Linked DNA regions of Oryzias latipes. The protein of the gene in region 2 purifies or fractionates together with the protein of the main gene of each other region. This does not show direct contact. Links are inferred from orthologs where the notes say so. Each region holds a gene or a part of one and is shown on either strand. Other genes may lie near its edges.

Evidence for each region.
Region 1: the proteins of tarbp2 (region 2) and protein argonaute-2 purify together in Homo sapiens (co-immunoprecipitation; 10 studies listed by BioGRID and IntAct, with this or other methods). This does not show direct contact. The link is inferred for Oryzias latipes from reciprocal best matches to the Homo sapiens genes TARBP2 and AGO2.

Annotation. Positions count from the first base shown.
Region 1 is NC_019869.2:10,705,442-10,709,261, reverse strand, and holds part of protein argonaute-2, read right to left. Parts: intron 3,536-3,820; coding exon 3,355-3,535; intron 3,265-3,354; coding exon 3,144-3,264; intron 3,061-3,143; coding exon 2,879-3,060; intron 2,156-2,878; coding exon 2,019-2,155; intron 1,923-2,018; coding exon 1,788-1,922; intron 1,617-1,787; coding exon 1,529-1,616; intron 1,315-1,528; coding exon 1,167-1,314; intron 1,081-1,166; coding exon 961-1,080; intron 437-960; coding exon 314-436; intron 226-313; coding exon 92-225; intron 1-91.
Region 2 is NC_019863.2:10,465,082-10,469,116, reverse strand, and holds the end of tarbp2 (RISC-loading complex subunit TARBP2), read left to right. Parts: intron 1-1,063; coding exon 1,064-1,191; intron 1,192-1,343; coding exon 1,344-1,539; intron 1,540-2,321; coding exon 2,322-2,479; 3' UTR 2,480-3,341; downstream 3,342-4,035. Other genes in the region: protein TESPA1, read right to left, coding at 3,873-3,964. UniProt on the Homo sapiens protein: Required for formation of the RNA induced silencing complex (RISC). Component of the RISC loading complex (RLC), also known as the micro-RNA (miRNA) loading complex (miRLC), which is composed of DICER1, AGO2 and TARBP2.

The DNA.
Region 1 (3,820 bases), on a different chromosome or scaffold from region 2:
GTTTATGAGTGGATTTTCATCAAACCAGTTTGGTGGGACACAAACATGACTTTTGAAGAGGATGCAGACACATCGTGAGAATGCGACTCACTTGAGTAGGAGTTCAGTGCACTGTCTCTGTGGGGCAAAGCAGGCGATGGCCCACACTTTGATCTCGATGCCAGTGTGGAACTGCTTGTTCCTCATGTCCCACACCCCCTGAATCGGTGTGGCGATTGCCTTGTTCTGCAAATTTAACAGCAGCATGTTTTTATTTTTCAGTGCTCAAAAAAAATGAAGACCACAACACAGACGTGCAGATCATCAGACGTACCCTGCCGCCGTACAGTATTGAAGGTGCTTGCAGGACGCGGCCGTTCACTTCAGTCATTTCATCTCGAACCATCACTCCAAACTCACGAACGTATGGGTCAGTGTTAAAGTTGGCGCTCCTCATCTAGAGACAAAAGAAAAAGGGATAATAAGTATCTCACTAAATGCCTTTATCAGGTTAACCATGAGCTGCAATTCATTTACAACTTCTATAGATTTATTGAAATGCAATATTTGGAAAAGGACCGATAGAGTAGATATTTTAACCCTCGTCATCTGGACCCCACAAGATAGCACAAGGGTTAAAAGGCAGCGTTCTTAAAGAAGCTGTTACACTTTGACAAATAACTTTTACTTCAGGAACACTCAGATGTATTTGCATCTGACAAACTCATTTGCCATTTGGGTTTTTGGTTAGATTGCATTTTATTTCTGCCAACATTTTGTTTTTCAAACTGTCATGACTGAATTAAATTTCCATCTTGGCATAGTTTCTTCAGACAAAAAATTTGAAAGGCATATGAAACTTTCAATTTTCTCAAGATGATGCTAAAGTGGCTTAATAGCTTCAAACTTTTGTTTTTTTTAGATCTGTTTCAATTTATGATATTTTTCAGGAACACAGATGTTTGTGTTGGTATTTCTCACCAGTTTGCTGATCTCATCCTGGCGGTCTGGTGCTGACCGGGCTGTGGCACGGATCATAGTGGAAGTCTGATTGTCTGTCAGCTTTTTGATGCAGCGCTGCCCTGCCACAATGTTACAAACCTAAACAGAGAATCCATTGTCATGTTTCTTGAAATGTTTCTTGGGTTTCAGAAAGTGAAACAGCAAAGACCAAAGGTAGATCTTACCTCTAGGGGGAGGTAGGTGTGCTTTTGCTCTTGTCCCACCTGTAAACATGGAAGGTGGGGATATCGCAGAATGAGCTTGTATTTGTCTTTAAAATACTGGGCTACTGTGCATTCGATTGTTTGGCCATTCTCCTGTTGCAAGGGGAACCTAGTGAGTAGGAGGAGAAAAACACAGCATTTGTTTTTATTAGCACTAGGAGACTTCTTTGCTGGATTCAAAAGTTCCATCTTATTTCTGTTTTTACAGGTGCAAGTTTTTCTGTTCATCCTGTCCTGTTATTCTCCTACACATGGTGCTCTAAGCACAACAGAGCAGCTTAAATGTCTGGGTTCAAATGATGGAAAAAGTACAGAGAATTTACGTTTGGTGGCTGGCTGGTCTTCTGGTAACGTTGCAAACTCTGTACTTCCTCTTCATCTGTCCACAGTGAGTTATCTCAACCTTGAGGCCTAAAAATGAGAAAAGCATTTAAAAACTGATAAATAATTGAAATGCTGATTATTTAAGTTTGTTTTAATAATGCTTTTTAGTTTATAACAAGAAAATAAGAAACGGATTAACTAATGAATTTAGCAAACATGAACTGAACGTTTTTTGGATTATAACTGAAGCTTTCTTACCTTTAATTTCTTTAGTAAATTTGACTCGTTGAGAGTCTGTTAAAGGCTTCTGTTGTTCTTCAATGCTCTTAAAATCCAAAACTTCACACATGAACTCGATTACAGGCTGAGCTTTGTAGAAAGCTGTGGCTGAAACTGCAAAAAAAAAATAAAGCAACCATACCGATGTAAGACAAACAGAAACAACTTTACTAAGCAGCTTTTGTCAAAGTGATATGATGCAGACTTTACCGTCGATGTTGAGCATCATTTTCCACAGGGAGGGCCTGACCGACTGATGGAAACCAAACCACACTTCTCTGCCACCTCCCAGAGGGTTTGAGCAAGCTTCTGAAGGAGTAAAGAAAGACCGCCCAACAGGGGTATACCTAAAAGACAACAGTCGGTGATAAGACGTCTGGTAAGGAGAGGTTTAAAGTCCCACTCTGATCATCTCCGTTTTCAAACGGTTCTGAACCAAGATGGAAACGGTTTCCTTTCAAAAGGCTTGTTGCATAGAACTGAAGTGCACCATGTGGCGCTCAGTGTGCCGTCACTGCTTCAGCAGCTCTTTGAGCACGGCTCTTTAAATTAGGATTGTGCCGTTTTCAGTTAAAATCAATAAACCTGTATGGTTTTCTAGGACAGTTTCTCCAGAGAAGCAGGAGTTGATTAGAAATGTGCCTCTCTGACGTGACTGGGACTATTGGCGTGGAGCAACCCCGCCTCCATTTTCCCTCCCGGTTGCTGAGAGCTCTCTGTTTTCAGGCTCTCCTGCCACCTGCTCCTCCCCCATTTGAGCTTACTATTATTTATACATTTTCTCAATCATCAGAAAATGTTAAAAACACCAGTTTCATCAGATTGGGTCTTGAACACAAACTCATGGCACATTATTTAAAAAAACTAAATTCAGATTTGATATATTCAGCTGACTTTCCTGTAGTGTGCTTGTGGCATCTTGTTTAATCCTAATCAAGAAGTGATAATCTTAACTAATTCCATGAGGAAACAGGCAGCGGCTGTGCACTGCTTAGGCATCATTTGGCCACATAAGAGAGCTAGACCAAAACAGGAAATGGCGATCCTTCCAACAACAATTAGAGACCTACCTCATAGAAGGCAAATGTCTCATGACCACATCCAAGGCTTGGATAGTCTCAAAGGGAACACTGGGAAGCCGCCCTGACAGAGCTTCGTGCAGAGCTTGCAGGCTAACGCAAGACACCCATTTGATGGCAACTTTAAAACTGCGGTCTTTGCCTTCGCCTGGAATAGTCACCTCCAGCTCCACCTACATGGTTCATACAAAATGCCACTGCTGAGACATTTTAACATTGAGAGGAAATCGTTTCAACTATAATGTAAACAACAAACCTTTTCTCTGCCTATGGGCAAAGCCATGGCAGTGTAGAGGTTCTTTCGCCCGTCGTACACCGGCTTCCGGTCCCCAAAGATCTGAGTTTTAAAGTGCTGGACCATGTGCTCCACAATTTCTCTGCAGACAAATTAGGCGAGTCAAGACAATCCCCATAAAATTACACACAATTCTGATGAGAGTTTAAAAAAAAGCAGACTTTGAACTCACCGATTCACCCTTCTGGGGCATTTTTCAGGTTTGATGTCTATGTCGTAATGGTAAACCTCCAATTTTGGGATTTCCATCTCAAAGAAATTGGCCTGGAGCTTGATTGTCCTGCCCATGGTGCCAAAGTCTGGCCGTGATGGCGGCTTGAACACATATTCTGGCACTGGGGAAGATGGGGGCTCTACAAAAAACAACAACAACAACAACAACAAAAAACGCAACAGTTGAAACAACATTATTACTACACACACAAAGTGAAAATGTGCTTTACGGCCCTGAGGTAAGTTTGCAAGAACCAGTTTGAAAGCAGGAACAAGCAACGGCTTGCATCTGCATGCATGTAAACATTTTGTGACCATAAGACTCCAGAGGAAATGGGAGCTTGACGTTGCATACCAAATCAAAAAACGGCCAACAACAGGTCAATCATAAACTTTAAAAGCTCTCGTACACCAGACAGTGTCAC
Region 2 (4,035 bases):
AGATCCTAATTTCTGTAATGCAGGTTTTTGCAGATCATGTCGATAAGTTAACCTCAAAAAGTTCTCGTCTAAAGTAGTTTGGTGGGTTTTCTTGTTATTCAGTTTTATTCTTTGGTTCAGTCAATGAGGTACTGATCCTGTTGATCCCTTTATCTATACATAACATTATTGATTCCTTATTTCTTTTATTTTTTTAGCAGACCAATTTTTATTTTGAAGTGCAAGCTCTGGCTTTTTTTGTTTTAAGAGTTTTTCCATTCATATTGACTTCTTCTCTCATCATCTAAACATCCTGAAATATTTCAAAATATTCTAGATAAAGTAAAATTGCTCTACTTTAGTTGGCATCTTGTGCCTAAACTTTAATTGGAAAACAGTGTAAAGTTAATGCTGTGACTTTACATTGCGTGAATCTGCAGCGTACAGTCCCAGCGTGCCGTAGGCCTCTGTCGGTCAGCGTTGACCATGGATGATGTATTCTAACTCTTGTCTTGTCTGGTCGTCTGAGACAACGTTGGCGGCGGATGAAAAGGCCAATCTGGGAGAGGCATTCTTTGCCGCAGAAATTGCATCTGTAGGCAGTTCCCTGGCTGTCATTGTTCCGAACCTTTCTGCAAGGTGGCTTGTCTTCTGTCACAGTGTACAGTGTAAAGTCACAGCGTACAGTTCCAGCGTGATGTTCCAGTGTAAAGCAGCTGAACAAGCAGACAGAAACAAAGAAAGTACGTCTGTCTTGATTGTTGAAAAAAGGAAATTTGTTCTGAGCTTGGAGTGAAAAAATAGTAAGCCTTGGATAAAAGACTACATTATCCTTTAAAGTCAGGCTGTGCACTCAACTCTTTACATAAAAAAGATGGATCACTCTGTAGATTTGAAGATGGATGTTGTCACTAAGAACTTGATACTGGAAAACTAATAACCCTCTTCCTTTTTTCAGTGTAATTTTCTGGCCTCCAGTGGCAGAAACCTTTTAGCAAATGCTAGATTCAATTAGTTAAATCGGAGCACATATCAGGTTGCTTTTTTGTCTCTTATTAATACTCTGTTGTTGTTATTTCTCCAGGAAGTGGTACTTCTAAGAAATTAGCCAAGAGGAATGCAGCTGCTAAGATGTTGTCACGAATACACGACGTGCCAGTAGACCTCCGAAGCACCAATGACGCCGACACGGAAGAGGACACGTTTAACATGGTGAGGGGCCGACTGCGTTGAGGAGGATCCTTGGGAATGCTTTGGTTAAATGTCCCCAAACAAACACTTAAAACACAAATGCACACAACAAAATTGTCTCTTTCATAATCCTTGATGGCACAAACGACTAGCCTGTGGATTTTTCTCCACAGCACATGGGCGGTAGAGTGGAGTCGGGCAAAGCGAAAGGCTTCAGCTGCACGTGGGACTCTCTGCGGAACTCGGCTGGAGAGAAGATCCTCCAGCTTCGCAGCCACCCTCTGGGCATGCCCTCTGACTCCAACTCCTGCGCTCTGCTGAGTGACCTGTCTGCAGAGCAGCGCTTTGATGTCAGTTACCTAGACCTAGGTGAGCCCACATGCAGTTGGAGTCGCCACTGCACCGCGCCACATCATGTGCGCACATTGAAGGAATGTGCTTGTCAAGCAGAAAAGAAAGCAAGAATTGTAAACATCTTGCTTGCGTGGAAGAGGTTCCGCATCTTATTGAAAGCAATAAACATCACTGTTGGGACGTCTTGTTTGTAGAGGGTCCCCCCCTGGGAAAATGTAAAACTCGATTGATCATTTCGTTGAAGTCAACCTCATTTTGCTATCCGCTTTATTCTATATTTGACGTTCCTCCAGGCCTTGACAGGTGGCCAGAATGCAACCTTATCTAGAATGAAGGGAAGCTTATTTACATCAAAAACTGACAATATGAACTCTCAAAACCTTATTTGGCTGAGAGAACATAGGAGATAAATGCATCATTCCAATGGGTTTTAGAGGAAAAGCTGCATTTGCTTAAACATATTTGTTGATGACTCTTGTTCATATTTATATGAAATGTAAGGCAGTTTGATTGATTACACAGATTATGTCCACCTGCACCACTTTGGGTTTTTTTTTCCTTCCAAAACTTCACATTTGGGGTTTGTTTGTTTGTCACCTTAACAACCACACTGTTGTGAAATTGCTCAAGTGTAGGTTTCATAACCTGATACTGGGGGTCACTTACCTACCGGTAGTATTTTATTGCCGTTGGATAGAAATTTATTGCAGATAAATTCATGCAAAATGTGGTCTTCCGTGAAAAGAAAAAAGTATGAAGAGTGTGTTTGCTTCACATTCTGTCCCGTCTCGTTTCAGAGGAGCGCAGCCTCAGCGGCCTGTGTCAGTGTCTGGTCGAGCTGTCCACTCAGCCAATCACGGTGTGCCACGGCTTTGCTACGAACACCGACGCCGCTCGGGCCAACGCAGCTCACAACGCACTTCAGTACCTCAAAATCATGGCAGGAGGGAAATAAGGAAACTGTTGCCTTCCTCCTGACAGATTCAAAAACTCGCCAAGTTATCATTAATAATATTATTATTTTGTAAAGGGTCAAATGAATAAATCCCAAATTGAGACTTTTTTCCTACACGTCAATCTCTGAACCCAGTTTTTAGTTTATTTTATTCTACGTCTGACACGTGCCACTGAAGATTTATCTGCCTAAAATAATCTCACGCTCATCTTCTTCGTTGATGACACCAGTTCTTTAGCTTCCCTTTCACCCACTGTGTTTTATTAAATACAGACTATTTTAGAAAGTATTCAGGTAAAACTATAAATGGAGATTCTTCATTAAGAATCCTGGTTTACAGGGAGGAAGTATAAAAAAAAAGTTTATATTCTTCCAAATGTAAAAAGTAACAAACTGCTCAATACGTGAATTATTTCAGATGTTAGTGAAGGAGCCTACCCAAGTCCTGATAAACTATTTAAACCCAACAGTTCAACACTGCCACATTTTAATGTTTAGCCATGCTATCTTTTATCTTTAAGCAAATTAGGTGTGTATTTTTGGAAACTCTTTGAGTTGTTGTCACGGTGTCATAAGTATCTGACCAACTCTGTTATAGGCCGTTCGCTAATCTGGTTCCGTTTTAAACAAATGTTCCTTTCTGACTGACAGTGAGGTGTGACCAAGCCTCACTCTATTCTAGTTATTTAACGCATCGACTTCCACATCACAGACTCGCCATATAAAGCGACCACATGTTCTAATGTGAAAATATTTATACCTCAAGACTATTACCGTGCGTGTGTTGAATGTGTAGCGTAGACTCCTTGTGTTCTCTGTCCTTGTGGATTAGGTTCTTTTAAATAAAAGAAACTTCATTTTACTGATTGTCTTTTTTGTTCTTTGATTCTGGAACGTTCCATACAGTTTGCACGTTTGTTGATAAAGGCTCTAAAATGAAAAAGTGGGATTTATTATTTAATGCAGCTTATAAGGTTTATATTATGCGGTTATACCAGCAAAGTCACAGCTGTTTTACTTCAACACAAAAGTGACAACTGACACATTTGAGAAATCCTAATATAGTTACAAAAACTTAGAAGGAAAAAACATGAAATTTTATTTTCAAAGTGCATCTGTGGCTGTTTTTTAATGAAATATTTCCTAGGCATTATTATGTTTCAACTTTTTAAAAGTTTTTCTATTATGTAGTCCACATTGTGCACTACACAACTATATGTATTCACCCAAACGTTCAAGAACTATGAAAGCATACAAAAACTTCACATCTGGATATAATATATTCAGTAACCTGAAGATCAAGGTAAATCCAAAGTTTGGAGTCATTTTCTTAGCTGTTACATTTTTAAATGGACTCTTCAGAGTAAAAGAAAAGCAGAGGTAAGGTTGTCTGTCAGCTGCTGAGTTTCTCTGCTGAGGGGCTGAGGTCTTCATCTGCAAATCCGCTGCTGTCCGACTGCACACTGTCACCCCGAACCACCTCCCCTACACAAAAACACAGTTCCTTTTTACGCGCTGCACAACACAGTAGAAGAGCAGATGCAGCCTGACCTCAG